Linked DNA regions of Sus scrofa. The protein of the gene in region 4 purifies or fractionates together with the protein of the main gene of each other region. This does not show direct contact. Links are inferred from orthologs where the notes say so. Each region holds a gene or a part of one and is shown on either strand. Other genes may lie near its edges. The genes, in order: VAMP3, NAPG, SNAP29, STX7, SNAP23, PTTG1IP and VAMP8.

The links.
Region 1: the proteins of STX7 (region 4) and VAMP3 purify together in Homo sapiens (affinity purification with mass spectrometry; 3 studies listed by BioGRID and IntAct, counting the BioPlex papers as one, with this or other methods). This does not show direct contact. The link is inferred for Sus scrofa from reciprocal best matches to the Homo sapiens genes STX7 and VAMP3.
Region 2: the proteins of STX7 (region 4) and NAPG purify together in Homo sapiens (affinity purification with mass spectrometry; 3 studies listed by BioGRID and IntAct, counting the BioPlex papers as one, with this or other methods). This does not show direct contact. The link is inferred for Sus scrofa from reciprocal best matches to the Homo sapiens genes STX7 and NAPG.
Region 3: the proteins of STX7 (region 4) and SNAP29 purify together in Homo sapiens (affinity purification with mass spectrometry; 3 studies listed by BioGRID and IntAct, counting the BioPlex papers as one, with this or other methods). This does not show direct contact. The link is inferred for Sus scrofa from reciprocal best matches to the Homo sapiens genes STX7 and SNAP29.
Region 5: the proteins of STX7 (region 4) and SNAP23 purify together in Homo sapiens (affinity purification with mass spectrometry; 3 studies listed by BioGRID and IntAct, counting the BioPlex papers as one, with this or other methods). This does not show direct contact. The link is inferred for Sus scrofa from reciprocal best matches to the Homo sapiens genes STX7 and SNAP23.
Region 6: the proteins of STX7 (region 4) and PTTG1IP purify together in Homo sapiens (affinity purification with mass spectrometry; 3 studies listed by BioGRID and IntAct, counting the BioPlex papers as one, with this or other methods). This does not show direct contact. The link is inferred for Sus scrofa from reciprocal best matches to the Homo sapiens genes STX7 and PTTG1IP.
Region 7: the proteins of STX7 (region 4) and VAMP8 purify together in Homo sapiens (affinity purification with mass spectrometry; 7 studies listed by BioGRID and IntAct, counting the BioPlex papers as one, with this or other methods). This does not show direct contact. The link is inferred for Sus scrofa from reciprocal best matches to the Homo sapiens genes STX7 and VAMP8.

The regions. Positions count from the first base shown.
Region 1 is NC_010448.4:68,472,741-68,476,720, reverse strand, and holds the start of VAMP3 (vesicle-associated membrane protein 3), read right to left. Parts: upstream 2,801-3,980; 5' UTR 2,644-2,800; coding exon 2,642-2,643; intron 302-2,641; coding exon 220-301; intron 1-219. UniProt on the Homo sapiens protein: SNARE involved in vesicular transport from the late endosomes to the trans-Golgi network.
Region 2 is NC_010448.4:97,972,175-97,976,462, forward strand, and holds the start of NAPG (gamma-soluble NSF attachment protein), read right to left. Parts: upstream 2,801-4,288; 5' UTR 2,416-2,800; coding exon 2,360-2,415; intron 1,087-2,359; coding exon 1,019-1,086; intron 1-1,018. UniProt on the Homo sapiens protein: Required for vesicular transport between the endoplasmic reticulum and the Golgi apparatus.
Region 3 is NC_010456.5:50,498,687-50,502,186, reverse strand, and holds part of SNAP29 (synaptosomal-associated protein 29), read right to left. Parts: intron 2,301-3,500; coding exon 2,104-2,300; intron 1-2,103. UniProt on the Homo sapiens protein: SNAREs, soluble N-ethylmaleimide-sensitive factor-attachment protein receptors, are essential proteins for fusion of cellular membranes.
Region 4 is NC_010443.5:31,222,905-31,226,404, reverse strand, and holds part of STX7 (syntaxin-7), read right to left. Parts: intron 785-3,500; coding exon 647-784; intron 1-646. UniProt on the Homo sapiens protein: May be involved in protein trafficking from the plasma membrane to the early endosome (EE) as well as in homotypic fusion of endocytic organelles. Mediates the endocytic trafficking from early endosomes to late endosomes and lysosomes.
Region 5 is NC_010443.5:128,886,156-128,890,165, forward strand, and holds the start of SNAP23 (synaptosomal-associated protein 23), read right to left. Parts: upstream 2,801-4,010; 5' UTR 2,709-2,800; intron 1,722-2,708; exon of another isoform or gene 1,665-1,721; intron 1,288-1,664; exon of another isoform or gene 1,137-1,287; intron 423-1,136; exon of another isoform or gene 369-422; intron 1-368. UniProt on the Homo sapiens protein: Essential component of the high affinity receptor for the general membrane fusion machinery and an important regulator of transport vesicle docking and fusion.
Region 6 is NC_010455.5:207,493,156-207,497,089, forward strand, and holds the end of PTTG1IP (pituitary tumor-transforming gene 1 protein-interacting protein), read right to left. Parts: intron 3,532-3,934; coding exon 3,357-3,531; intron 2,809-3,356; coding exon 2,762-2,808; intron 2,431-2,761; coding exon 2,384-2,430; 3' UTR 501-2,383; downstream 1-500. UniProt on the Homo sapiens protein: May facilitate PTTG1 nuclear translocation.
Region 7 is NC_010445.4:59,190,366-59,194,582, reverse strand, and holds the start of VAMP8 (vesicle-associated membrane protein 8), read left to right. Parts: upstream 1-1,417; 5' UTR 1,418-1,831; coding exon 1,832-1,834; intron 1,835-3,777; coding exon 3,778-3,936; intron 3,937-4,217. UniProt on the Homo sapiens protein: SNAREs, soluble N-ethylmaleimide-sensitive factor-attachment protein receptors, are essential proteins for fusion of cellular membranes.

The DNA.
Region 1 (3,980 bases), on a different chromosome or scaffold from region 4:
TGTGTGATTCAGCGGCAGGAAAACAAGCTTGAAACCAGGAGAGCGTGACTTCTCAGGAGCTTAGATAAGGGTTTTCAAAACCAGGGGCACTTTTTTGTTACACTTGTGAGAGTCGAAATTTACTTTACATTTACACTTTTATGATACTTTTTCTAAACAGAATTATTTCCAAAGCCTTCCCATCTTGGCTTAAAATGCAACAACATTGGAAAGCAATACCTCGTCCACTTGATTTTGTGTCTGCTGAAGTCTTCTGTTGCTGCCAGCGGCAGCGCTGGAACCTGCAGGCGCACCTGTCGACCTGAGGTAAAGGCACAAGCATGGGTAAATGAGGATTCCAAACACACTTCTCCAAGTGTGAAGGTGCACTCCAGGACACTCAGTGTTGGGAATTTCAGCACTAAAGCGGAAAAAGGAAATCCTTCCTGCAGTAATGAACAAAGGTTCTAATGCCATTTCTTCTAGTTTCTCTATAATTTCAGAGATTCACCCACATGTTAAAAGTGATCAAGGTCTGAAATGAGATTTAACAGGATCTACTTTGTATCACAAAAGCACCTGATCCTAAGATAAGTAAACTCTATTTTCCCTATTTTTTTGCCTTTTTTTAGGGCTGCGCCCTGCAGCTTATGGAGGTTCCCAGGCTAGTGGTGGAATCGGAGCCACAGCTGCCGGACTACACCACAGCCACTGCAACTGGGGATCCGAGCTGCGTCTGCAACCTACACCACAGCTTGTGCCAACGTGGGATCTTTAACCCACTGAGCGAGGCCAGGGATTGAACCCACATCCTCATGGATCCTAGTCAAGTTCATTAACCGCTGAGCCCCGAAGGGAACTCCTATTTTCCCATTTTTTATGACTTGTTTGAAGGTATAAGTCTACTTAAATGCACTCAGCAATCTTCTGATCTTTTCGCTGTGGCAAAGAATTGTATAAACAATCATAAAATGCCCTTTTCCAGTATGAGGAAATAGATTCACTTAGAGAAACAGAGTTGGGAAGACCCAGATGCCGAGTAGAAGGCACTGGGAGTGGAAAAGGTAAGACGAAGCCACGCTTCTTCTTCGCTAAATAGGTACTTTTTTTTTTTTTTTGTATGTTTGCCTTTTAGGGCCACACCCGCAGCACATGGAGGTTTCCAGGCTAGGGGTCCAATCGAAGCTACAGCTGCCAGCCTACACCACAGCCACAGCAACTCGGAATTTGAGCCTCGTCTTCGACCTACACCACAGCTCGTGGCAACGCCAGATCCTTAACCCACGGAGTGAAGCCAGGGATCGAACCCGTGTCTTCATGGATGCTATTTGGGTTAGCTAAGTGCTGAGCCACAACAGGAACTCCAAAAAGGTGCCTCTTTTAAACCCTCATTGAAAGCTTTATTTTTCCCCAGGCAGACCTTTCACGACCACGCAGGCTAGGAAGTCCTAATTGCTTCCATTACTTGGTTGGCAATGCTTTGATTTTTCATGTATTAATAGAGTCTTGCCCTCTCTAACAGATCACCGACTCCTGTGTCTTACACGTCTCTTCCAGTATCCCAGACAGCACCTAGAGCACTTATCTTGCATATAACAGCCACTGATTCATTGATTCAACAGTTATTTCATATCTATCATGTGTCAAAGACCAATGATAAAGGAGATCCCACCCTTGCCCTCAGAGAGTTTATTGTCTGAGAGATAACAGCAAAGGGCCATGTGTTGGTGCATCTTCTCATTTAATCCCCAAAACTCTTTGAGGGAACACTATTGTTAACCTCATTTTATAGATGAATAGCTTTAGAAAGTTGACACCACTGGCTGCAGTGGCGCCTGTGTTTAGATTAGGTTCTGCATAATTCTACAGATCTGGACTTCACACACCGAGAGCCGGCACGGCAGCTTCAAGGAGGTACATACACTCCGGAGTGGTGTCTCTTGCTCCGTTAGGAACCCTAGGAAAGCACCCATTCCTTTCTCCTCTGGGGTGAGCACTGAGCAGGCTGGAGTGGGGACAGGGGCTCCCTGTGATTTTTGACACTTAAGAGTTCCCTGGATGTTACCACCGGAAACTCCCCGCTTTCAAGGGTCACAACAAGAATGCTTCGGCTTAAAAAAAAAAGAGAGAAGGCCTACGGCTATGCGCCCGAGTCCACTCTGACCCACTCTGACCGCAAGTGCCTCAAGACAGGGCTGAAGGCCCCTCCCTTGCAACTTCCGGAGCCCAACCCAACCCGATAGCGAGCAGGTCTCCAGGACGAGGGCAGTGGCCACAGCTCCCCTCAGTCAACTTGGAACGGGAAGGAGGAGAAAATGGGACGGGGAGGGGCGGAGGGAGGGGAGGAGAAAATGGGACGGGGAAGGGCTTTCCCCTCCGCTGGGAAACACCGGCCGCCCCGCCCTCGCCCCTTCCGCGGCCGCGCGACCGCCGCAGGGCCCTCCGGGGCGGCAGGCAACGCCCAGGGCCGACCCGGCCCGTCTGCAGCTCGTATCCCCGGGGCCGCCCGCCGCCCACCCCCAGGCCTCGGGAGCCCCCGCGAAGCCTCGGCCCGCGTCCGAGACGCTGCAGAAGGGAGCCAGGCCGAGCCGGGCCGGGGTCCCAGCCACTGGCCGCCGCCCCCAGGGCCCGAGGTCGCTCCGTGTCGCCTTGTGTCACTCACATTTCGGCGGCGGCGACAGCGGGCGAGAATCGACGAAGAGGCGCAGCGGGACCTGAGGCGGGGAACCTGGGCGGGGCCAGGCGCAGGCGGCGGTGGCGGCGGCGCGGGGCCGATGACGTCAAAGGGAGGGGCTGACGGGGTGGACGGGGCGTGCGCGGCGGCGAGGGGCGCGCCGGAAGGGGCGGGGCGCCTCGGGGGCGGGCCCGGAGGGCGGTTCCGCTCCCTCCCCCCACGGCCGGCCGCCCTGACCCTGGGGGCCCGGAGCCTTAGTCCCGGGAAAGGGACTGTGTGGGTGGTCGGGGGTGGGGGCGCTTTACGTTATTCTGGGCCCGTGGGTCATTCCTGTGGCCGTGACGGTATCAGTGACAGCCCATGGGCTTCTGCTTAACGTTGCGTCTTACCCAGTGATGCTAGAGACACCGCATTTCCCCAGGAAACTTTTAAAATAAGACCTGAAGCTCCTTCAGGGTATTCGTCAGAGGCATTGATTGGGCCTAGGGTCCCTCTCTTCGTGTAGTCATTTGTGACACAAATATTTGTCATTGCACAGAGCTTATTATAACCCGTTTACAGGAGCCTTCACATCAGTAACTGGGCTTTGTATGGTTCTGTATTTCTGGACCCCCCCAGTAGGGAGTAGGTCCCCAGCTTTTGATTTGGGTTGAGGCCCAGGCACCAATTCAGTGAGTTACTCTGCAAGGTATTAAATTGCTCCTGACATTATTCCTACCACCACAGGCAACTCCTACACTAAACAAACACCACAGAACACCGGGAGGTCAACCGGCAGATTCGATGAGAAATGAAAAAATAAACACCAAACTGTCTGTTGCAACCCTAAATGGGATAATTGGAAAAAGAAATATTGATGTATATTAAAATAAACAGGAGAGTTCACTATATAAAAAAATTAGGAAATACAGTAGAAAATTGACAGAACACTGTAAACTAGGCTATAATGAAAAAATTTTAAATCACTACATGAACAAATAAAAATAGACAAGAAAGCAAGACAGAGGAGGTGAGATTTGAGTTGGATCAAGTGGCAAAAAGGAGAGTTTCCAGGCATGGGAGGAACAACCTTTCATAGACAAAGAAACTCAAGATGGACCTGGTTTGAACAGACCGAGGAGGTGCGGGTGGTGGTGGGACTGGTGCAGGTTAGGGCACAGGTGAAAATAAGATTGAATAAAAGGTAAAGACTAACAAGCAAGGAGAATGGCATGTAAACACAGTGGGCTCTCGAAACCGTTGAAGTCTCATGGATTGCGGCAGATCTGTCACCCAGAACTTGTCCAGCAGTAGCCCCGGGATGGATCAGAAGGAAGAGGGTCCACCA
Region 2 (4,288 bases), on a different chromosome or scaffold from region 4:
ATGCTGTTATTGCTGATTAGTGTCATCTTACCTGATTTCTTTTTTCTTGGTGACATACTAACACTAAATGCGAGGCTAACAAATGTGATCAAGGCTACTGCTGAAACACAGTAAAATGTGTTCAGGGTGTTTCAAAACTGTATTATGCTTTATACCCAAATAATCACGGATATGCTGAAAGCTATCTCCCATAACTTAAAATGCTAAGTTTTTAATAATTCTCTTTTGGTTGCAAATTCCAGATCATTTTTATCTTACATGCATATAAACATATTAATATATGCCTATAATGTAACACTTCATAAACATTCATCGGTGCACCTCCGTGGAAGGGTCAAAAAGAACAAGAGCCAAGCCACGGCATGCAGCTCTACTGAGAATGAGGCTAAGATGTTTTAAAAAGTCAATGAGAAAAATCTTCAGGGAGTTCCCTTTGTGGCTCGGCAGTTAACACACCCGACTAGGATCCAGGAGGATGCAGGTTCGATCCCTGGCCTTGCTCAGTGGGTTAAGGATCCAGCATTGCCATGAGCTGTGATGTAGGCTGCAGACGTGGCTCAGATCCAACATTGCTGTGGCTGTGGCATAGGCTGGCAGATGTAGCTCCGACTCAACCCCTATGCTGTGGGTGAGGCAGAAGGAAGGAAGGACAGAAGGAAGGAAAAGAGAAATAGAAAAAATCTTTCAAAATAACAGGTAGCAGAAGAACATGACAAAACTCTCAGAGATAGTATGAACTGAATGAAGTTCAAGAACATATAAAGGATGCTAAAAGCGCAGCTGCATCCCCTGCTCCCATCCTGCCATCCCAGGAGAGGCAGAGGCCACTGAATCTGCAGCTCACACTCAAGACATCTGAAAACAAGTGGACAAGTGCAAGGATTCAGGCAGTTTCGTTTTGTCTTTTAAACAATTAAAATGCTACAGGATGCGTTAGGAGGAAGAATTATACCGAGATGAAGTGAGCAGCCCATGTCAAGATTACACACCACAAGGACTGGGCTACAGTCACTCATACCTGCTTTTCCATATTCAGAAGCAGCACTGTCATAATCTGGCTTCCATTTTAAAAAACCAGTTTTCAGGCTAAAAGGAAAAGAAGACACAATTAACACAAGTTACCAACCATGTTCGTTCATAAGTAAGAACCCTGCTTGTAAGCACCTTATAGGTCATTAAAGGGGGCAGGGGACCATGGGCCAATCACATTCCTAAGAACCTTGCTTGTAAAGGCTCTGATGGGCTCATTAAAAAGGGGGGGAGGGGACCATCCCTACAAAGTCACCATCTCACTCAGCTCCATTGAAACTTACTGATAATCACATACAACCTCACTACCTTCCCCTCCCATTGTCACAGACACAGTTGTCCCCCTTTTGAAATGTCTGTCCAAGTAGAGTGGAGGGTCTTCCTGCACGGTCCCCAGACTAGCAGGAGCAGCACCACCTGGCAGCGTACAAGAAAGTGTAAGTCACTGAGCGAGCCCCAGCTCTACCGAACCAGACACTCTGGAATAGCGGCGGCAATCCAGGGTGTAAAAAGCCCTGAGAAGTATTAAAGCTTGAGAAGGGCTGAAGCACATAAGTAAGCAGTGGGACCTGTGAGACTGCAGCACAGGAGAGGCCAGAGAATGACCGAGGAGTCATCAGCAGATGCCACACCAAGGGCCCCATAAGTTTCTCTAGGAAGACTGCAGAGAAAAGCCAGGAAGACTGCAGAGAAAGGCCAGAAAGACTACAGAAAAGACACTCAGGGAGACAGAGGGAGTCAGCAAGAAAGACTCCAATGAGCCACCAGGGGACAGGAAGGACCACCTGAAAGACGAGGACGACTGGAAGACAGAAGCTGCTTTCCAGGATTCCAGGATTACTTGGCATCTCAAACGCCACACCAAAGTACAATCCGATTGAATCCTTATCTAACCTGCCCTTTCTGCAATACTTTAATTTCAGAATAATTTCAGGCTTACAGTTTAGTGACTGTCAAGCTTAGGTGTGCTTACAAATTGCCCAATGAACATCATCTTTAATTCTAAACTTCAGTTAGTGACGACCTGCTTACGACTCTGCCAGCTTCCAAGGGACCAGGGGACACCTTAACTGAGGAAAAAGAGGGGCTACCGGCCTAGGTGGGGGGAGCCCCCAGACTGCCGGGCTCCGGGGTACCAAAGAGCCCCCACTGCCCCCATCACCCGAGCCGCGACAACTTCCGGGTCGACGGTAGCGCTTCCGGGCCAGCGCCCACCCCCCCAAGCCCCGCTCGCCCGCCCCTGCGCCCCCCGCGCGATGCTAACTCGGACAGCTCTCGGAGGGGCCCGGCCCCGGCGTCCGGCCTGGGCCGCGCTGGGCCTCTCACTCACTATTTCTCTGCTTTGGCGAGGTGCTCCAGTCCCTCGTTTATCTTCTGCGCCGCCATCTCCGCGGTGCGGCCCTGACGTGGAGGCCGAGAGCCCGCCGAGTGGGCGTGGGAACGCCGAGGAGGAGGCCGGGACGGCGCCGCTGCCGCTCCACCGGGGCCTGCAGGGCTCAAACCAAGTGCGGCGAAGCGGCCCGGGAGCCGCGCAGGAAACGCCGCGCAGGCGCAGAGCGCCCGAGCTGGCCGCTAGCTTGTCTCCATGCGCAGCAGTGGTGGGTAGTGAGGGAGGTTCTCTCATTCATTCGTTCGTCAAGCACCGGTTTGTCGAACACCTACTATGCGTCAGACACTGTCCTAGTGCCGGCAGGTCGCCAGGGAGAACGAGAGACCGAGTCCGGCCCTCGTGGATCTCGCTTCCCGCTCCCTTGAAAGCGCATTGGCACTGCGATCCGTGACCGCATAGACTCGTTTATTTTTTACTACATGTGCGCCCCTACCGCCTGTCGGTCACCGTCAGGTAACCCCTGACAGATGCTCAGAAGTGAGCACTCCGTGACGTTCGGGAGCGAGGTTCGCCAGCAAGGGTCTGGCAGAAATAACAGTAACTCCGTGTCCGACTCACATTTCGTGGGGTTTCAACACCTGCAAGGTGATTCTGCGATAGCATTGCAGCTCCTTGGTCTCCACCCAACTAGCTCATACTCTCATCCCCAGGATCACACCCTCGACCTTACCAGTCATGGGTAACTAATTACTAGTGACTGTGCCCCCGACGCATCACTTTCAAGCAGACACTTTATTTCTTGCTGTCTTCTAGCTCTGATAATTTTTCACCTTCAGCAGAACTCCCACCTCTTCCTGGCCTCTGCTCCTGTTCACACCTCCCTGTTTACCCATTATAAGCTCCATGTTCCATCATTGTAACTACTCTTCTGCGTGTGCATCAGCCTCCCTGGCCCTCTTCCTTTCTCCTTGTATGGAAAAGCCCCTGTTCTCTACGGACTGGAACTGCTCTGAGCAATTGAAAGTGGTTGGAGAAAAACAAAGCAGCAACATGCTAACGTGACCCGTCCCTGGAATCTGTGCTCATACATGTCAAGGAGGCCCTGGTGCAGCTAAGTTCCTGAACTGCATTTCACTGGACCAGTCATCCAAGGGCGAAATCTCTTCCTGGACCATCTTGGGCCCTCTAGGTGTGACTCTGTAAACTAGACTGGGCAAGATGGAGGAACAGGGGGAAAAGCACACATTTATTTAACAGAGGTTTTGTGCGACACGAGAGCCTTTATAAGGAAATGAAGACCCGCAAAAGTGGTTACTCCTGTGTTTTTATGCTTGCTGTGCTAAAGGCTGGAAAGTCCTGGGAAAACACGATGGGACAAGGGCAGGAGCCCAGCACAGTGACCTGTGGAAACTAGCAAGGCCTTTGTTCTCACCACCTTCAGCACCTCTGTCTTCAGAGTGTTCCTGTCCTCCAGGTACAGGTAGCTCATCTCTCACATAGGGTATATGGGGTTCGGGAAACGCTGTCCCCAAATACGGCACCTTGGCACATGGAACCCAGCAGAAAATCCACAGTCTAACTGGTCCTTCAGTCATAATTTCTTTATTAAGGCTCCCACATCACCTAAAACTTCTGTTCAGTGAATCTGTAGTCTTTCCTCCTATTAATCTGTCTGTCACTTTCATGTTCAGACCCAGCCAGGGGCCTAAGAGGGTTGAGGAGAACTTTTTCCTCCCTTACAGGGTCTCATGGGAGAAGGGAGGAATCAAACCTGCCTGCACCTGCTCTTTCTCAGGTTCCCCCAGCTGAACCCCTTCAGTATGCCAAGGAGCCGTACTTTGGGGTAGTGCGTTCTGAATCCCACTGGGACATAATGCCTGCTGTCATGGAATGTGTGATCTGTGAGGGGGCACAAATGTTAAACCTAGT
Region 3 (3,500 bases), on a different chromosome or scaffold from region 4:
GAGTCAAGAAAAGAAAGAAATCTTTTAGAAGGGAACACCACCTCTGCCAGCATAGTCTTTTCCTGGGGTGCCTGTGTGAGAAAATCAAATGCCTCCTCCAGAAAAAAAAAAAAAAAAAAGGAGTTCCTTTCATGGCTCAGCAGAAACGAATCTGACTAGTATCCATGAGGATGCAAATTTGATCCCTGGCCTCGCTCAGTAGGTTAAGGATCCAGCGTTGCCGTGAGCTGTGGTGTAAGTCGAAAGCATGGATTGGATCCCATGTTGCTGTGGCTGTGATACAGGCCAGCAGCTACAGCTCTGATTCAACCCCTAGTCTGGGAACCTCCATATGCTGCAGGGGTGGCTCTAAAAAAACCAGGAAAAAAAAAAAAAAAGGCCTCCACTTTCACTTGCCTGCCCTGGAGCCCCACTGGCCCTGCCTGAGCTTCCCAGGTGGGTGGGCACAGGCCCCATGATGGCCTTGCAGGCACCCGAGCACAGGGTGTGCTTTTTGCTGCCATAGGCCAGTGGCCTGGAAGAGAACATGGACCATGGTGCCTTGCGCAAGCTGGGCACCAGCGTGTTGGAGCACTGGCATTGCTTGCACTTCAAGCCCACACCCTCCCTAATTTCCGCCCTATGTCCTGATCTGGGTGGTGGTCACAAAGGAGTACGCACAGGTAAAGAGTTGTAAGCTCTCCACTAAAGTGTGTATGTGCTTTACCGTACATCATCTGCGCATTAGAAAAAAACAACAAACCTCTGTGTTTCAGAATTAAAGGGGAGACAGAGAGAGAGAGTTACAAAACCTGTATAACATTATATATTTTTTCTGGGTTAATTAAGTGTAAGAAGCTACAAAACCAAATGAATACTCTGATTATGAAAACGTCAAAAAGGGGGAAAAACTAAACTCTTTTTGTCTTTCTAGGGTTGCTCCCACAGCGTATGGAAGTTCCTAGGCCAGAGGTTGAATTGCAGCTGCATCTGTAACCTACACCACAGGTCACGGCAACACTGGATCCTTAACCCACCAAGCGAGGCCAGGGATCAAACCTACAACCTCATGGATATTACTTGGGTTCGTTACTACTGAGCCACAATGGGAACCACAGGAAAAAACTAAATTTTAAGTTTCTGTGTGATGGTAGGTAAGGTGGAGATTTTCTGTAATTCAACAATATCATTTTTATAATAAAAAACAGACATAGTGGTCTAGGATATGACTAGCAGTCATTTGTTTTAGTAGAAAAACATTTCTTCTTCTTCTTCTTTTTTTTTTTTTTTTTTTGGCTTTTTAGGCCCACACCCACAGCATATGGAGGTTTCTAGGCTAGGGGTCGAATCAGAGCTACAGCTGCCAGTTACAGCCACAGACATGCCAGATCTGAGCCACGTCTGCAACCTATACCACAGCTCACAGCAACACTGGATCCTTAACCTACTAAGTGAGGCCAGGGATTGAATCTGCAACCTCATGATTCCCAGTCGGACTTGTTTCCACTGTGCCAAGACAGGAACTCCCCTCTCTTCTTTCTTTTGGCCACACCCATGGCACGTAGAAGTTCCTGGGCCAGGGATCAACCCTGCATGCACCACAGCAGTGACAACACTGGATACTTAACGTGCTGAGCCACTAGGGAACTCCCAGAAACTTATTTCTCTTATCTCTGAACACTTAACATTTACATGCCCATCAAAATTGCAGTATGACTTTATTAGATCTCTAGTGAAGACATTTGGGGAAAATAATCTCTAATTCAAAAATAATAACCAAGGGGCAAAATGGGTTAGGCATTGAAAAGCTGGAGGTAGAGTTTTTAAGGCAAAAATTCTGTGAGGTGAGCCAAGCTGAACTCTTTCTTTCAAATTACCAGTCTCAATCACTGGGGCAGAAATCTGTGGAACCTTTGTAGACTGGACAGCGATGACATCAATGTAATAAGGAGCAGTGGAGAAGGTTTCTTATTTCCAAGTATTTGAGGACCGATTCCTCCCAGTGAGTGACTCTCAGGGTTACCGGGTCCCTTAAAGCCCAGGAAGTGGCCTGAGTCTCAGCCCCCTGGCCCTGCATGAAGGCCCACCTTCTGTTACCTCATAGTAGGCTGAGCAGCCACCCACCTGCTGCTGGGCTCGGGGGCAAGGGTGCCGTTCTGTGTAGGCGAGGTCTCCACAGGTTTAGACTTGAAGTAGTTGACGAGCCCTCCGAACACACTCTTGATGCTGTTGATGTGCTTCTGGCTGGTCTTCAGGTCCTGCTCCATTTTGTCCACCATCTTCTCTGTGCGCTCCAAGGCCCCACGCTGACGGACAAGCTCCTATCGTGGGGGCAGGGGAGAGCGATGGCATGACAGAGACACAGGGCAGCTTGGCCAGCACGAGGGAATGACGAGGTCACCCATGTGCACCTTCCCTGTCTCTCCCTCCCGCCTCACCACTGCTTGCTCTTACTTGCTCTGGGGTTCCTGTCCCCCTGGCCTGGCCTATGAGGGGTCCAGGTGCAGGGCCTGGCAGCAGATCCTCTCTAGCCCCCTCCTCTCCCAGCCATGGGGACCCTGGGGACTTTGACTTGGGTTGTAGTTCCTGGATGTTCCCTCTCAGATACAGCAGTGCCGCTGGGCCACCTGGGCCTCTGGCCCTGCTCGTGTGTATTTCAGAAACTTTGTTCTGTTGTCCTTTCTGGCCCTGTTAGTGTCTGATTCCAGCCCATCCAGTTTCAGCTTTTAAACCTCTAACAACGGCAACCCTGACACAGGACCTTTGCACATCCTCCTTGCTCTGTGTTTAATGTTCCTCATGGCTCTGTTCCTTCCTCATTTGATCCAGCCTCTGCTCAGAGGACACTTCCTCTGAGAAGCCTTCCCGGAACACCTGCTGTGAAGAAGTCCTCTTTCATCCCTGGACTGCCTCCTTGGGCCCTGCTGGCTGTTGCCTACAGGGCCCCTCAGAGCAGCTGCTCCTGCAAGCCTGCCCCTGCCCAACAGACGCTGGAGGACTCTGTGGCCCTGGGGCCAGCCTGGCCTGATTCCTTGAGAGTTGAGACTTCTGGCCGTGGATGTGAACTCAGCACCATACCAGTGCTCATGCTTTTTTTCTGACCATACCTGTGGCATGTGGAAGTTCCCAGGCCAGGGATTGAACCTGGGTCAAAGCAGCGACCTGGGCCACAGTAATGACAATGCTGGGCCCTTAACTTGCTGTACCACAAAGGGACTCCAGGGCTCATACTTTTAAAATCTGGGGCAAACTCCGTTCAGCCTGGTCACCCCATGGTCTGCCTCTCCACCATAAGACTCCTAGGCTCGGATCCTCAACCTCAGGAGGCAGCCCCTGACCTCGGCCGCTTCCCTGTGGCTCTCAGTTACGTTAATAATGCAAACAATCCTTAGATGCTCTCTCCTAACTCCCCAAAACAAAGTCAGGAGCAATTTTACACACATAGCCTAGGAATTTGAAGGATTAAAAACAAAACTATAGGCAATGGGTTTGTTGGAGCCCATTTTTGAGATAAAGATGTC
Region 4 (3,500 bases):
TTACATCTACAAGGGAGTTCTTGTTCTAATATTGTAGGTCAATTACTTTAGGTAATAACAAAATTATATCATAACCTGATAAGCAAAGAATTCATTAAATATTCTCAAGTGCTAAATAATAATTATTATTCGATTAAAATGTAAAGTAGTCTTGGAACCTCTATATTAAGGAACAATATACTCGTGATAGTTTCCAGGGGAGATATATAATTAGATTAAGTTAGAATTCCACTCTAACTTATCCTTTCATTTATTTTCTCCAGGTATATATTTTCAATAATTATATGTATATTCACTCTGTTCACGTCCATCATCTTCACATAACCTAGGAGGAAAGACTTCTCTACACCAGCATGAACACGAAGTAACAGCCTCATGTTCAAATTAGGATCAGACCCCTAATCTTTTCTGACAAAATGTTTATTTTTACATAATCTGTAATCTTTTGTTTGACACAGAATAACCAGAGTAATACACCATTATCATACTTCTTAAAAATTAAGCAGAAACACCTGAAATTAAATATTTCAATACTGATCTCTAAGACTTTCACAGGTCTTTATGACTCAAGAAACACCCATGTAGTCTCTTAAGATATTTTAGAGAATACTGTGTTCCTTTTTACAATGCCATTTTAAATACTTACAGAAACTCTGGAACTGGCTCTTACTCGAGCAACAAATTCTTTCTCTTTCTCAGCAGCTTGCCTCTGCACCTTCTGAAAGTTTGTCAGTGACGTTGTGAATTCAGCCACTAAGCGGTCTTTCTGTATTTTCCTTTGACGCTAGAGGAAAGGGGGATTTAAAAAAAAAAACAAAAAACAAAAAACACCTGATAGAATCAAGCTGTGAAATTCTACAGCATGTGCAAAAGTTGTTGGCTCTTTATTTAATTCTGAAAATTTAATTTTCAGACTAAACTTTCAAGACTAAACCAAGATGAAATAGAAAAGATGAATGGACCAATCACAAGAACTGAAATTGAAACTGTGATTAAAAAACTTCCAACAAACAAAAGTCCAGGACCAGATGGCTTCACAGGCAAATTCTATCAAACATTTAGAGAAGAGCTAACACCTATCCTTCTGAAACTATTTCAAAACATTGCAGAGGAAGGGATACTCCCAAACTCATTCTATGAGGCCACCATCATCCTGATACCAAAACCAGACAAAGATACCTCAAAAAAAGAAAACTACAGGCCTATTTCACTGATGAACATTGATGCAAAAATCCTCAACAAAATCCTAGCAAACCGCATCCAACAGTACATTAAAAAGATTATACATCATGATCAAGTGGGATTTATCCCAGGGATGCAAGGGTTCTTCAATATCCGCAAATCCATCAGTGTGATACACCACACTAACAAACCGAAGAATAAAAACCATATGATCCTCTCGATAGACACGGAAAAAGGCTTTGACAAAATCCAACACCCATTTCTGATAAAAACCCTTCAGAAAGTGGGCATAGCGGGAACCTACCTCAACATGATAAAGGCCATATATGACAAACCCATGGCAAACATCCTTCTCAACAGTGAAAAGCTGAAAGAATTCCCTCTGAGATCAGGAACAAGACAAGGATGTCCACTCTCGCCACTACTCTTCAACAAAGTTTTGGAAGTCCTAGCCAGAGCATCAGAGAAGTAAAAGAAATAAAAGGAATCCAAATTGGAAAGGAAGAAGTAAAACTATCACTATTTGCAGATGACATGATACTATACCTAGAGAATCCCAAAGACTCTACCAGAAAACTGTTAGAGCTCATCCACGAATCTGGCAAAGTCGCAGGATACAAAATTAATACACAGAAATCGATGGCATTTCTATACACTAACAATGAAAGAGCAGAAAAAGAAATTAGGGACACCATCTTGTTTACTATCACATCCAAAAGAATCAAATACCTAGGAGTAAACCTACCTAAAGGGACAAAAGACCTGTACTCTGAAAACTATAAGATACTGATGAAAGAAATCAAAGATGACACAAATAGATGGAAAGACATACCATGCTCTTGGAAGAGTTAATATTATCAAAATGACTATACTACCTAAGGCAATATACAGAGTCAATGCAATCCCTATCAAATTACCAAGGACATTTTTCAAAGAACTCGAAAAAAATATTTTAAAGTTTGGAAGCACAAAAGACCCAGAATAGCCAAAGACATCCCGAAACAGAAAAATGGAGTTGGAGGAATCAGGTTCCTGGACTTCAGACTATACTACAAAGCAACAATCATCAAAACTGTATGGTATTGGCACAAAGACAGACATATACATCAGTGGAAGAGGACAGAAAGCCCAGAATTAAACCCACGCACCTACAGTCAACTAATCTATGACAAAGGAGGCAAGAATATACAATGGAGAAAGGACAACTTGTTCAATAAGTGGTGCTGGGAAAACTGAACAGCCACATGGAAAAGAATGAAATTAGAACACTCCCTAACACCACACACAAAAATAAACTCAAAATGGATTAAAGACCTAGATATGAGACCAGACACCATAAAACTCTTAAACCATAGGCCAAACACTCTCTGACATAAACGACAGCAACATCTTCTCAGATCCACCTCTTAGAGTATTGACAAAAAAACCAAAAATAAACCAATGGGACCTACTCAAACTTCAAAGTTTCTGCACAGCAAAGGAAACCCTAAACAAAATGAAAAGACAACCCACAGAATGGGAGAAAATCTTTGCAAGTGAATCAACTGACAAGGGATTAGTCTCCAAAATTTATAAACAACTTCTGCAGCTCCATACCAAAAAAAACCAAACAACCCCATCAAAAAATGGGCAGAAGATCTAAACAGACAATTCTCCAAAGAAGACATAACAGATGGCCAAAAAACACATGAAAAGATGTTCATCATCACTCATTATTAGAGAAAAACAAATCAAAACCACTCTGAGGTACCACCTTACACCAGCCAGAATGGCCATCATCAAAAAGTTTGCAAACAATAAGAGCTGGGGAGAGTGTGGAGAAAAAGGAACCCTATTACACTGTTGGTGCGATTGTAAATTGCTGCAACCACAGTGGAAAACAGTATGGAGATTCCTCAGAAAACTAAAACTAGAACTACCATTTGATCCAGCAATCCCACTCCTGGGCAGCTAGCCAGAGAAAACCACGACTCGCAAAGACACATGTACTCCGATGTTCATTGCAGCATTATTTACAATAGCCAAAACGTGGAAACAACCTAAATGTCTATCAACAGAGGAGTGGATCAAGAAGATGTGGTACATATGCACAATGGAATATTACTCAGCCATTAAAAAGAACGAAATACCGGCATTTTTAGCAACATGGATGGACCTAGAAACTATCATGCTAAGTGAAGTCAGCCATACAATGAGACACCAACATCAAATGCTTTCACTGACATGTGGAATTTGAAAAAAGGATAGACTGAACTTCTTTGCAGAACAGATGCTGACTCACAGACACTGAAAAACTTATGGTCTCTGGAGGAGACAGT
Region 5 (4,010 bases), about 98 Mb from region 4:
TTTTTTGCCATTTCTTGGGCCGTTCCCATGGCTCATGGAGGTTCCCAGGCTAGGGGTTGAATTGGAGCCACAGCAACGTGGGATCCGAGCCACATTTACAACCTACGCCACAGCTCACAGCAACACTGGATCCTTAACCCACTGCGCAAGGCCAGGATTCAATCCCACAACTCCATGGTCCTAGTTGGATTCTTTAACCACTGAGCCACGACAGGAACTCCAATTGAACTTTAAATGACTGCAAATGGAATCCCATTTCTAATGCTCAATATTACCAAAAGAACAGGAGATGCTGTTTCCTGGCTCCACAATCCACTTCCTCCAATTGTTAGAGGCACTGGATCCATCTGTTCCACACCCCTACTCACCAAGACAAAGAAAAGACCAGTCCTTGTCATCTACTTCCCCGTCAATCTACAGAACTGGAAACAAAACATGGTTCTGGAATGAAAAGTTCAGCACTCTTGGATGCAAGTAACATCATATATTATAAATGCTAACATATACATAATTAGAGTACAAATCCAGCTAAAAATCAGATTTCCAGAATGTTCAAGAAATAGATGAGATCCTGTTGTGGCACAGAAGAACTGAATCTGACTAGTATCCATGAGGATGTGGGTTTGATCCCTGGCTTCACTCAGTGGGTTAGGGATCTGGCGTTGCTATGAGCTGTGGTGTAGCTCACAGACATAGCTCGGATCTGGCGTTGCTGTGGCTGTGGCATAGGCCGGCAGCTGTGGCTCTGATTCCATTCTGACCCCTAGCCTGGGAATTCCTTATACTTTGAGTGGCCCTAAAAAGCAAAAAAAAAAAAAAAAAAAAAAAAAGGAGAAATAGCAACTACAGGAGGAAAACAAAACAAAGGCAGTTGATTTCACAAAAATGTCAAAGAGTGAACATCCTTTTTTTCCCTTTTGCTATTCTAATCTACTTTCATCTGGTTTGTTAGAATTATGTCACAACAATGAATGCCATCACAAGGCTCACAGAATTTTGGAATCTTCTGCCCTTAGAGTTTAGATAATCCAATCTTCATTTTATTTAAAAAAAAGAGGCAATTAGGCCCAAAGCACTATTTTCCAAAGCGCAAAGCAAGAAAAAGAAATTTTAGTTGTTATTTAAGCAATACGTACGTGCTTAGTAGTTAACATATTTATTACTTTGGAAATCTTTTATGATGGTGGTATGGTTCATACCAAGGGAAGTAACAACAGCTGTCCCATCAGCAACAGGGTCTGTTTTTAGGTTTGTTTGTTTGCTTTCTTTTTGGTTCAAGGGTGGGTTCTGAATGATAAAAAGATGTGACCTTCAGTTCAGTGAGCTTGTTACTAAAGCTAATTTAGAGTAAAAGAAACAAATACTAAGAAGCATTCAGAAATTCTGTTTATAGGAAAGAGTGTGTAATATTGTTAAAAACATAATGACACAATAAGCCATTCCTATTCTGGAACTAAGATAATAGCAATTCTCTAGGGCATATTTACATGTCACAAGCACCTAGAAAAAGATCCCTAGCAACACTGATATCTAAGTTGTGGGTTAAGTTACATGATCATTTAATTTACTTTCACATGGCCTGTCAAAGGAGCATGGTCATATAGGAAGAGGGTTTTCTCCTAATATTTGTTAATATTTATATGAAAGTGTTTTTTTCTCATTACCTCTTTCCAAAGGAATGAAAGGCAGGTGATTAGTGGATGCCTTAGGAATCAAATTTGCTGGTGGAAGAAATAATATTTTAAAATTTTACTATGAAATATTTTAAGTTTAAATGTCAAAGTATTCTTGCTAAAGATGTCTCATGAATTTCAAGCGTGGTATCTTTCAGGCTAACCAAGAAAGTGGAAGAACCATTTCCATCTGGCCAAACCTGCAGGATTTCACCAGAACATCTGCAAACCAGTTTTAAGGTCCCAGGGCAGATGGAATAATATCACTCTCAATTCTTGAAATACCTTCTACTAAGAAGCTACATTATTTTCAGGAAGCTAAGGCAACACTGTCATAAGCTGCCAGTATCCATAATCGCCTCCAGCCCTCCCCAAAGGAGAGGGCAAGTAGCAAAAGGCAAAATTTATATTCTCTTCTCATCTTCTTTTCCCAATTTTGACGACTTTCGTTGCCTCTGACCCCCATCTGCCTTGTCTAGCATTGTGGTGACTAATGATGAAAAAAAGTTCCAGGTGAAACAGCACTTTCCAGGACTTCCCCACCACCACCACCATTTACTCCGTGGAATTTTACTTTTAATAACTCTTTCCTTCGTTTGTCTTCAGTGAAGCCGCGAGCCAAGTACAGACTTTCCTAGAGAGCATGGACTCTCCAATGCCATGAATCTCAGAAACCTTTTTCATACAGGTAGTTGAAAATTAATCTGATCACTGTGGCCACCATAAAGTCTATTAATCCCGACAACTGCGAGGGTGAGAAGTCAGGGAGTGGGAGTTTACCTCTGCTAGGTTTCAAGGAAAGTCCGGAGAACCAACATCCCTCCACCCTTCCTCCTCTGACCCCTAGAGAGTCTCCAGGAGCCTCGCGTCTTCGAGCCCGGCCGGACCGGCTCAGTTCGGGCCAGAGCGCCCCCTCCTCCCCTCAAGCCCGACCCCACCAGTTTTTCAACTGTCACGATATACACTTTCTCCTTGGGATTATGAACCCAATCTTCACGGCAGCCAGCTCCCTCAATCCCACTCCTGGAGACTCACCAAGCAGTTCCGGCCACTCCTCTCCGGCCGCAGCAGATCGGACACCCGCAGGCCGGACTCTCCAACTGCTCTCTTCTTGCGCCTGCGCGCGCCGAACCTGCGCGCCTGCGCGCTCCTCCGGCGCGGCGGGCGCGGACACACCCCTGCAGCTGGAGCCAATCACCCTGGTGTGGGGGCGGGGGGGCGGTTTAAATCTCCCTGCCACGCAGGCGAAGAGTCTGGGGACTCACCGGTTAACCCGACAATTCGGGTCCCGCCCAAGATGGAAAGTGTTTATGCAATAAACATTTACCGAGGGCAAACCGTGTACCAGGCAATGTACGAGATGAATGTTGAGGAAGAGAAAACGAATAGAATGCCTCCCCGACCTTTGCCTAGACTGGGACATAGATATGTAAACAAATTGTAGTGGACAGAATATAGTGCTTGGAATATGAAAAATCCGAGGCGCCGTTGGGGCACAGTGAACAAAGCGCTTTATTCTTAGGGTATCTGGAAGAGTTCCCGGAGGAAGTGACTTTTGAATCGTGAAGGCTAAGTAGGAGTTCCCCCGGAAATTTGGAATGGAAGGAGATAGGAGTTTCCAGACTGTGAGAACAGAGTGTGCCAAGAACAACATAACACCTTCTGGAAATTCCTTGCAGTTCATCCTACTTGAGAGGCTTAAAGCGCGCCGCCTTCCGGTGAAGGGGAGAAAGGGTTTTTAAAAGTTGGCAATGATGTAGTTTCTGCTGTGACTCAGTGGGTTAAGGACTTAACAGTTGTCTCTGTGAGGATGCAGTTTCAATCTTTGGCCTGGCTCAGTGGGTTAAGGATCCTCCCATCTTGCTGCAGCTTCACAGATGCCCCAGGAATCTGGAGCTGCAGGCTGCAGCTTCAGCTCCTATTCAACCCCTGGCTTGGGAATTTTCATATGCCACAGATGCAGCTGTTAAAAAAAAAAGTTGGCAATGATACTACTACATGTGAAATAGATAACTAATAAGGACCTACTGTATAACACAGGGAATGATACCCAACATTTTGTAATATATATATCTGAATCACTGTGCTGTACTCATGAAACTAACATAACATTGTAAATCAATCATACTACAATTTTTTAAAAAAGTTAGATCTTAGAAGATCTTGCATTTTTTCACTTTACCATGATCACTGAGAATATCAAAAGATCTTAAGCAGGAGTTCCCAACGTGGCTCAGTGGTTAAAGAATCCGACTAGGAACCATGAGGTTGCAGGTTCGATCCCTGGCCTTCCTCAGTGGGTTAAGGATCTGGCATTGCAGTGAGCTATGGTGTAGG
Region 6 (3,934 bases), on a different chromosome or scaffold from region 4:
CGCCCTCGCCAGCCCGCTGCCCCCTTGTCACGGAGCGCAACCATGTCACCAAACAAGAATCCGGGTGCCTGATGCCCAGTGAGGCCAAAGAGAAGCGTCGGAGTTTGGAGAAAGGTTTACTGCGGGGCTGTGGGGCAGGGGGCGGTCATCCTCAAAACGCCCCCAACTCAGCAGCAACTCGGAAGTGGGCGGGACTGCTCCCCACGCGGGTACCAAGACCCCCAAGCAGGTAGGGCAGAGGGCAGGATGCGTTCCTGGTGGCACCTGTTTCCAGCAGGGGAGCCAAGGTGCACAGGCTCAAAGGCACCTTTTCGCCAGGTGGCGCTGCAGCAGGAAGCCGCGCGGCCCTGGGGCCATTCAGCAGCGGGAGCTCCGTGGGAGGCTGCTCCCGCGGCTAGTAAGGGGTCCAGAAACCCACCTTCGTCAGGACCGCCCCATCCACCCCTGCTCCCCAAGCAACAGCGCTCCCACCACCCAGAAACGAGAGGAGGAACGCAGCGTAGCCAGCAAAAACGTGTATTGGGCCGCTGACTGGAAAGTGGCTACAGATGAAGGCACTCAGGTTACGCGGTTCCTGGAGGCTCCAGGTTGGACTGCTCTTGGCAGCAAGTCGAAGAGCACAGGGAAGCGGCGGTGCCCGCAGCCGGCTCTGTGCCGCGCGGAAGGATGGGGTTTTTATCTCACAACCCACTCGCCTCAGCTCGGCAGCCGCAAGGCAGCAAAGAGGGATTTACACCCAGACTCGGTGTTGACTCGAGTCTCTTACAAAGATTTTTATGAACAAAGAGTAGAAAGGAAAACTCTGCAGGCTGTTACGAAGGACACGGGAATGTCTCTTAACACTTTGCTGCAATCAAATGCCCAAGAAATCAAAGAATAAGACTCAAGAGTCTGTTAAAGGTTGCTTCTTAGTCTGTGAGAAGCCAGGGTCAACCGGTTAGATCGACACAGGGGGTGTGGACAAGGCCTGGCGGGCCGCACGCCGGCGTGTTTGGTCGCTGGGTCCGCGTGGACAAGGCCTGGCGGGCCGTGCGCCGGCGTGTTTGGTCACTGGGTCCGTGTGGACAAGGCCTGGCGGGCCGTCGCTGGCGTGTTTGGTCACTGGGTCCGTGTGGACAAGGCCTGGCGGGCCGTCGCTGGCGTGTTTGGTCGCTGGGTCCGTGCGGACAAGGCCTGGCGGGCCGTGCGCTGGTGTGTTTGGTCGCTGGCTCTGCCTGAGTCCTTTCATGCAGCCGCTCACCTGCCGTCCCAAAGCTCGGTTTCCTCTAAGTCAAAGCAATGTGGCAACTAGAACTGTGTTCAGATTTCAAGGAGGAACCAGTCACTTCATTGTCTGCGAACCTGCCTGGAAGCGCGCAGACCACGGACGGCAGTCACATGTCTTCACTGGAGGGACGACTGCCGCGTCTGGCACCTCGGGGCCACCGCAGATGAGGCCGCCCGAAGGAGATCCACGGAGCTGGCCGGGGGCCGGGTGGTCTGGTCAGCAGGACAACCAGCAGCATCTCTGCACCGCCGCCCAGCCCTCAGCACCCTGGCTCACAGGGTCCCCCGGGGAGAGCCCAGGACACAGTCCCTTCCCGGAGGACCTACCGTCGCACGCGGTGCCCAGGTGAGCACTGAGGACAGGCAGGGAGGGTCTGGGACTCGGGAGAGACTGTGCCCGGGCCCCAGGCCTGCGGTCAGTGGGGCAGAGAAGGGTGCAGGTAAAGCTTCTCAAGTGTCCCCGCCCCTGCACGGGGTGACTGCTGGCCAGAGGGTCCACATTCAGATTTTCCCAGGAAGAAACGCCTCGTGTGCCAGTCCAGATGCTGATTGAAAAGCCAGCCCCCAGGTGGCCTACGCTTCCAAAGGAAGGCTTCGGGTGAAACCTCTTTTTTGTCTTTCTAGGGCCGCACCTAAAAAGGGGAGTTTTAGCGACTGCTTGGTGCCAGCTGGTGCAGATGGACGGGAACCCTCAGCAGACGGCGCCCGGGACACGGCGGGCAATGGAGAGCCGGCTCGGCTCGTCGGGGAAATGACAAGGGCTGGCTGGTCGGGGGTCCCACAACAGACTGAAAACGCACTGCCTTCCGGCATGTGGAGCCGCACCCACCAGGCCCGGGACACAGGGCGCGGTCGGCACCGGCTCCCAGGTAGACTGGGGAGGGGCAGGAACGTGCGGTTTCCTCAGATTAATGACAACACAACCAAAGGCCCTGACAGGCTTAATGTCTCAAGGGACAAAGACAGAAACAGGAAAAAAGAGGACAAAGCTCACAGGCCTGCACCTGGGGGGCAGCTTCCCACGGGCCGCCCCAGGGCCGAGGCGGACGAGGCCGTGGCCGCTGCTGACCCGCAGCCCCGGGCCAGGCGAGGAGACGCTGCCTCGCATGACGCGCCTCTAGTTGTTTTCGAATCTGGCGTACGGATTGTCTTCTTTAAACAAACCTGCAAACCAAAGGGGCTGATGACAAACGCGCGCGGCCGACGGGAACCAGCCCGCACCTCGGGACAATTCAGATGCGGCCGAGAGAGAGCCGGGTGCGCGGAGCAGGCGCAGAGACCACCCTTCACCCCCCGCCCCCGCCCGCCTCCGCCCGGGGACCAGGGGCACCGGACCCCCTGTTCCTACAGAGCCCAGGGTGGAGTGCGGCGTCCCCTCGCAGCAGGTGCCCGGAGGCTGGCTGGGAGGTAAAGGCAGGTAAAGGCAGCGCTCCGTCACGCACCTGCGGCCGGCCTCCCGTGCCCCCGGCGGAAAGGAGAGCCCGCGGACTCTTACCGTATTTTCTTCTGATCTCATCGTGTCTTGACTTCATCTCTGCTCTCCTACAACACAGAGGGCGCTCGCTCAGCACCAAAGGGCAGCACGATTTTACCAGCGGGACCTTTCACTTTGGGCGGCGGGGCCGGGGGTTCACTCCCGCCTCCCGGAGCCAGAGCTGGATGGGGCCGGCCGGCCAGGGCCACACTCCCACTGGACGGGCAGGGGGCCCGGCAGACCGGGCTGCTCCATCACCTCACCCGGTTCGTTTCAATAGAAGCAGCTCTCATGCCCCCACACTGATTTCCTTTAAAGAAAACTAACCCATCAGCAAAGACCTGCGCTTGGTTCGGAAGACGGCAAGGACCAGCAAGGCCCCGGCCCCAGCGGCCTCCCGGCCACTCCACACACACGCTCCAGGGGGCGGCTGGCAGGACATGTGTTGTCACAGTGCTGGCAACACAAGAGGCCAGTTCGGCCTCACGGACAAGAGGCCACAGCGACGCCCTCCTCCCTCTGTGCCTCTGCGGGCTCAGAGCTGGACGGGCACTCAGAGGCCTGGTAGGCACAGCCCTGAACCCACAGGATCCCCGCCCCGTCTTCCGGGCCTCACCGCTCCTCCTGCCGGACCCGCCGCTCCTCGCGCTCCCGCTCCGCCTTCTCCTCGCTCCGGTCGGGCCTGCGGCTCCGCTTCCTCGGGCAGCAGCAGCAGCAGCAGCAGATGGCGACGCCCAGGAGCACGGAGCCCCCGAGCACCGACAGGGTGATGATCAAGGCCTCGAAGTTCACTGCGGGGGGCAGCGGGGTCACCACGGCCCTGCCCCCCGCCCCCGGGACCGATCCCGGCTCCCACCAGCCGCCCTGCGCCGAGGCAGCGGCAGCTGCCGCCCCCCCGCATCCCGCACAGGCCTGACCGGCCCGAGCAAAGTCCACAAACCCAGAGGGAGGAGCAGCGGCGAGCTCAGACGGGAGCCACAGAGACGCGGTCCCGCGGGATGACGGCGTCAGAGCCCGGAGCCCTCCACCCACCGCCCACGGGACACCCCTCCCACCACGGGCAGAGCACGGGCTGCAGCCACCAGACGACCTTGTGACCTCCTGTCCCGACCAAACACTCTTCAAACAAGTTTCTCCTGAGGATTTATAAAGGCAAACCAGTGGCCGAGACGTCCCCAGTCCATCCCGCAGAGC
Region 7 (4,217 bases), on a different chromosome or scaffold from region 4:
TTAACATATAAAATTACTGAGATTTACAGGTATTCTCTCATAATAAGTCTTTGAAATCTGTGGGGGTTTTTTGTTTGTTTTGTTTTTAGGGCCACATTCATGGCATATGGAGGTTCCCAGCCTAGGGGTCTAATTGGAATACAGCTGCCAGTCTGTGCCACGGACACAGCAATGCGGGATCCGAGCCGCATCTGCAACCTATACCACAGCTAACGGTAATGCCGGATCCTTAATCCACTGAGCAAGGCCAGGGATTGAACCCGCAACCTCATGGTTCCTAGTTGGATTTGTTTCCATTGCACCACAAAGGGAACACCTGAAATCCGTGTGTGTGTTTCATTTACTCTTAAATCTCATCAGAGTTCAGACTAGCCACATTTCAAATGTTGAACAGCCACTTGTGGTCCAAGGCTACTGTACTAGACAGCAGCAAGTACAGATCAAAGGTTCTGACCTCCCTCTTCTTGGCCACATTGTAGCCTTTCTAAGGATGCTGAGGAGTCCAGGAGCCACATTCTCTGAAAGCAGGCTGTTACTATGCACCAAATTTCAGAGCTGCAGAAGATAATAATCTTATCTAATTGGAAGAAGGTTTCATTATAAATTAAAATTAAGGGTCTCAAAATGCTCCAGAGGTCCAAAATGTATGAGACTCTTTAAAAAAGCATTTGTCAGAGAAACTAACATTTCCCTCTTGGAACTGTTACCTCTTCTGGGATGGGACAGGAATGTTTGTTCCCTTCTGCACGTCCCTGTTATTGTTCTTCTGTCTTGATAAACACCATCCAGGAAGAGTGGATTTTCTCTGGCCTGGAGCCAGGTTGGTGGAAAAATCCTTTGCCCTGGGCCCCTTTTCCTGCTCCATAGGGCAGTCGTCTGACTGTTTCTGACAGGGCTCACCAACCCACATGGTGGCTCCTGAAGAGACGTACATGCAGGACTGTTGAACTCTGGAAGGAAAGGGGGGTTGGTGAGCCATCATTTCCTGATTCCAGCAGTGGGCAGCCCTTGGTTCCAGACACTGTGCTAGGCACATGCTATGTTCTATCCTTTTATTCCTCACCACCACCCTCTGAGGTCAGCGTCAGCACCTGCAAAACCCAGACAGGCAGAGGTTCACTCAGGGTCTGCAGCCTTCTGACACCAGAGCCCAGAATCCCAGCATTCCAGACTCTGGGGGTTTTAGTGCTTTCTACACTAAAACAGACTTGGGAGCAAGGTCTGTCCAGAAAGTGTTCATCTCTGCATCCTGTTCCCATGCGAACAAGGTGCTGAAAGTTGAGTTCAATCTCCAAGAATTGAGGGTCAGATATTCAGGACTTTAGAAAAAGAAGCGGGACTTCCCGCTGTGGTGCAATAGGATTGGCAGCGTCTCTGCAGCTCCAGGACGCAGGTTTGATCCCCAGCTCAGCACAGTGGGTTAAGGATCCAGCGTTGCCGCAGGCTGCTTTGGTCGGCTGGGAATTCCATGTGCCGTGAGGCGGCCAAAAAAAGCGGGAGGGGGAGGAGATGGCTGCCCTTTCTACGTCAGTAAACCTAGGAGGGCTGCCTGATCTTTTTTTCCCTGGTTCCTGATACGTGAGAAGAATTGTGGTGCCAGGGAGCCCTGTGGCTTTAAGCCTAAGCCCTGGCAGGGGAGGAGACTGGGAGGGCTGTGGAGGGTGCCCGCCTACCTGGGGAACCTGCGCGAGGTGTGGCCGGAGCGGCTCGGGATGCGAGGTGGGCGGGGGCGGGCTGAAAGTTGGACAAGCAGGAAGTGAACCGACGGCCGCCCGGGAGGAAACCGATTTAGGCGAGTTCTGCTGCCGCCAGGCCCCAGCCGCTCGGAGACATGGTGAGAGAGCTGGAGACTAAGAAGGGGCTGATTTCAAGCCCAGCCAGAGGGTTCGAGGGGGAGGGCTGGGGATCAGCAAAGGAAAGTTAGTGGCAAAGTCCAGAGGGCCGAGCCAGCGCTGTGGCCTGTCTTCTTTGACAGTTCGTCTGCAAATAGTTCGGAGCTGCCTTGGGCGGGTGTTCCTGCTCCTTCTTCGCTCCCTCCCTCCCCTGACCCCGGAGCCGGCCGGGAGGGGGGCTCCGGTGGGGGTGGGGGAGTCCTAATTCTTCTCCTTCTCCAGCCGGCGGGCCCGCGGGTGTTGTGACATTCCTGGGCAGCGCCTCTGCTGTTCCCGTCGCAGGTTCCAGCCCAGCGGCGGAATCCCCCTTGCCTTTCTCTCTATTCTTGTACAGAAACGCAAAGAATGTGTCTCTCCCCTGAATCCAAGGAATCTAGCTCATCTCCATTAACGTGAGGAAGAGAGCTAAGGGTTTGAAAGTCAGAAGTGGGTTTTCTGTGAGTGTCTCGTTTGGACCCACACCAGAAGTCTAGTGGGTCAGGGAGGGAGTTTCTCCCTCCCTGTTCAAAAACCTTATCATAAAGCCTGGGGATGAGGCATCAGGCCAGGAAGAACTTGCCCTCCATTTCCCCCAACGCCCAGGCTGCTGTTTTTATTTTATACTTGCTTAAGCAGGCAGTGGCGTGGTGCCGGCTCATGACGCTAAATGGTGGGGAAAGCAGAAGTTTGTGGCCCAACGGCTCTCTGGTGGGGCCTTGTGAGGGACTTGTAGCCTGGTGGCTGTTGTTCTGGGTCACAGCCATCAGGCTGCCCAGGAGGTCCGGAGAGAGAGGGAGAGTTGAGCTGGGTGAGGGTGGTCTGCGGGCTGGCACAGGCATTTTTACTGAGGACCCTATGGGATTTGAGAGTTGGTGAGGAGCAGTGGGGCTGTGCACTGTGAAATGCCAGCTCAGCTGTCTCCTGGAACCCTCTTTGAGGAAAAGAAGCAGTGGAGAGGGGTTTGGTAGTGGTATTTGTCATGCACCCTGAGAACCCACAAAGAGGTTTGATTCAATGTCTCCTAGCATGGCTCTTTACCATCTGGGGCTTAAACATGTAGGTTTTTTTCACTGTGCCCTATGGCATGTGGAAGTTCCCAGGCCAAGGATCAAACCCAAGCCTCAGCTGTAACCAGAGCCACAGCAGTGGTAACACCAGATCCTTAACTTCCTGAGCCACTGGGGAACTCCAGATGCTTTATTTTATTTTATTTTTTTGTCTTTTTGCCTGTTCTAGGGCCACTCCCGCGGCATATGGAGGTTCCCAGGCTAGGGGTCTCGTTGGAGCCGTAGCCGCCGTCCTACACCACAGCCACAGCAATGCAGGATCTGAGCCATGTCTGCAACCTACACCACAGCTCACAGCAACGCCAGATCCTTAACCCACTGAGCAAGGCCAGGGACTGAACCTGCAACCCCATGGCTCCTAGTTGGATTCGTTAACCACCGTGCCACAACGGGAACTCCAAAATCCTGTTTTTTTTTAAATCTTTTTATTTTAGGGCTGCACCCTTGGCATATGGAAGTTTGCAGGCTAGGGGTCATATCAGACCTATAGCCGCTGGCCTACACCACAGCCACAGCAACAGCAACGTGGGATCCAAGCCAAGTCTGTGACCTACACCACCACAGCAATGCTGGATCCTTAACCCACTGAGCAAGGCCAGGGATCGAACCTGCCACCTCATGGATGCTAGTCAGATTTGTTTCTGCTGAGCCACAATGACGGGAACTCCTGCATTTGTTTTTTTATTACATGCATACTTAGCAGAAAACCTTCTCTTTGTAAATAGTTCAAGCATTACAAAAGCTTAAGTCCATCTTAGGCCTCCCCCTCCTCTGGCCTCTGAGGCTGAGTCTCAGTCCCTCCACCACTTGGCTTAATTAACCGTTTTGTTGCTGCCCAGGAGGAGGCCAGTGGCGGTGGAGGGGATGACCGCGTGCGGAACCTGCGGAGTGAAGTGGAGGGAGTCAAGAATATTATGACCCAGAATGTGGAGCGGATCCTGGCCCGGGGAGAAAACTTGGACCATCTCCGCAACAAGACAGAGGATCTGGAAGCCACAGTGAGACAATGGGGAGCCTACTGGGGGCCAGAGGAAGAGGGGGAAGGAAGATTCTTGGGGGTTTGGGGATTGGCTGTCTTGGTGGCAGATGTTCAGGAGGGCAGTCTGCCTTTTCACCTGCATTGGGAATTGATGGGAGCAGATTCCCCACTTCTGATTCTGCTCTACTCCACTGATTGGTGCTGGGGTCCAGGGAATGGGTTCAAGGACTGGGGCTGGGGTGCATGGAGAGGGTGGAGGTGGGTGCGGACCCATGGAGGCATTTCCTGAGACAAATGGAT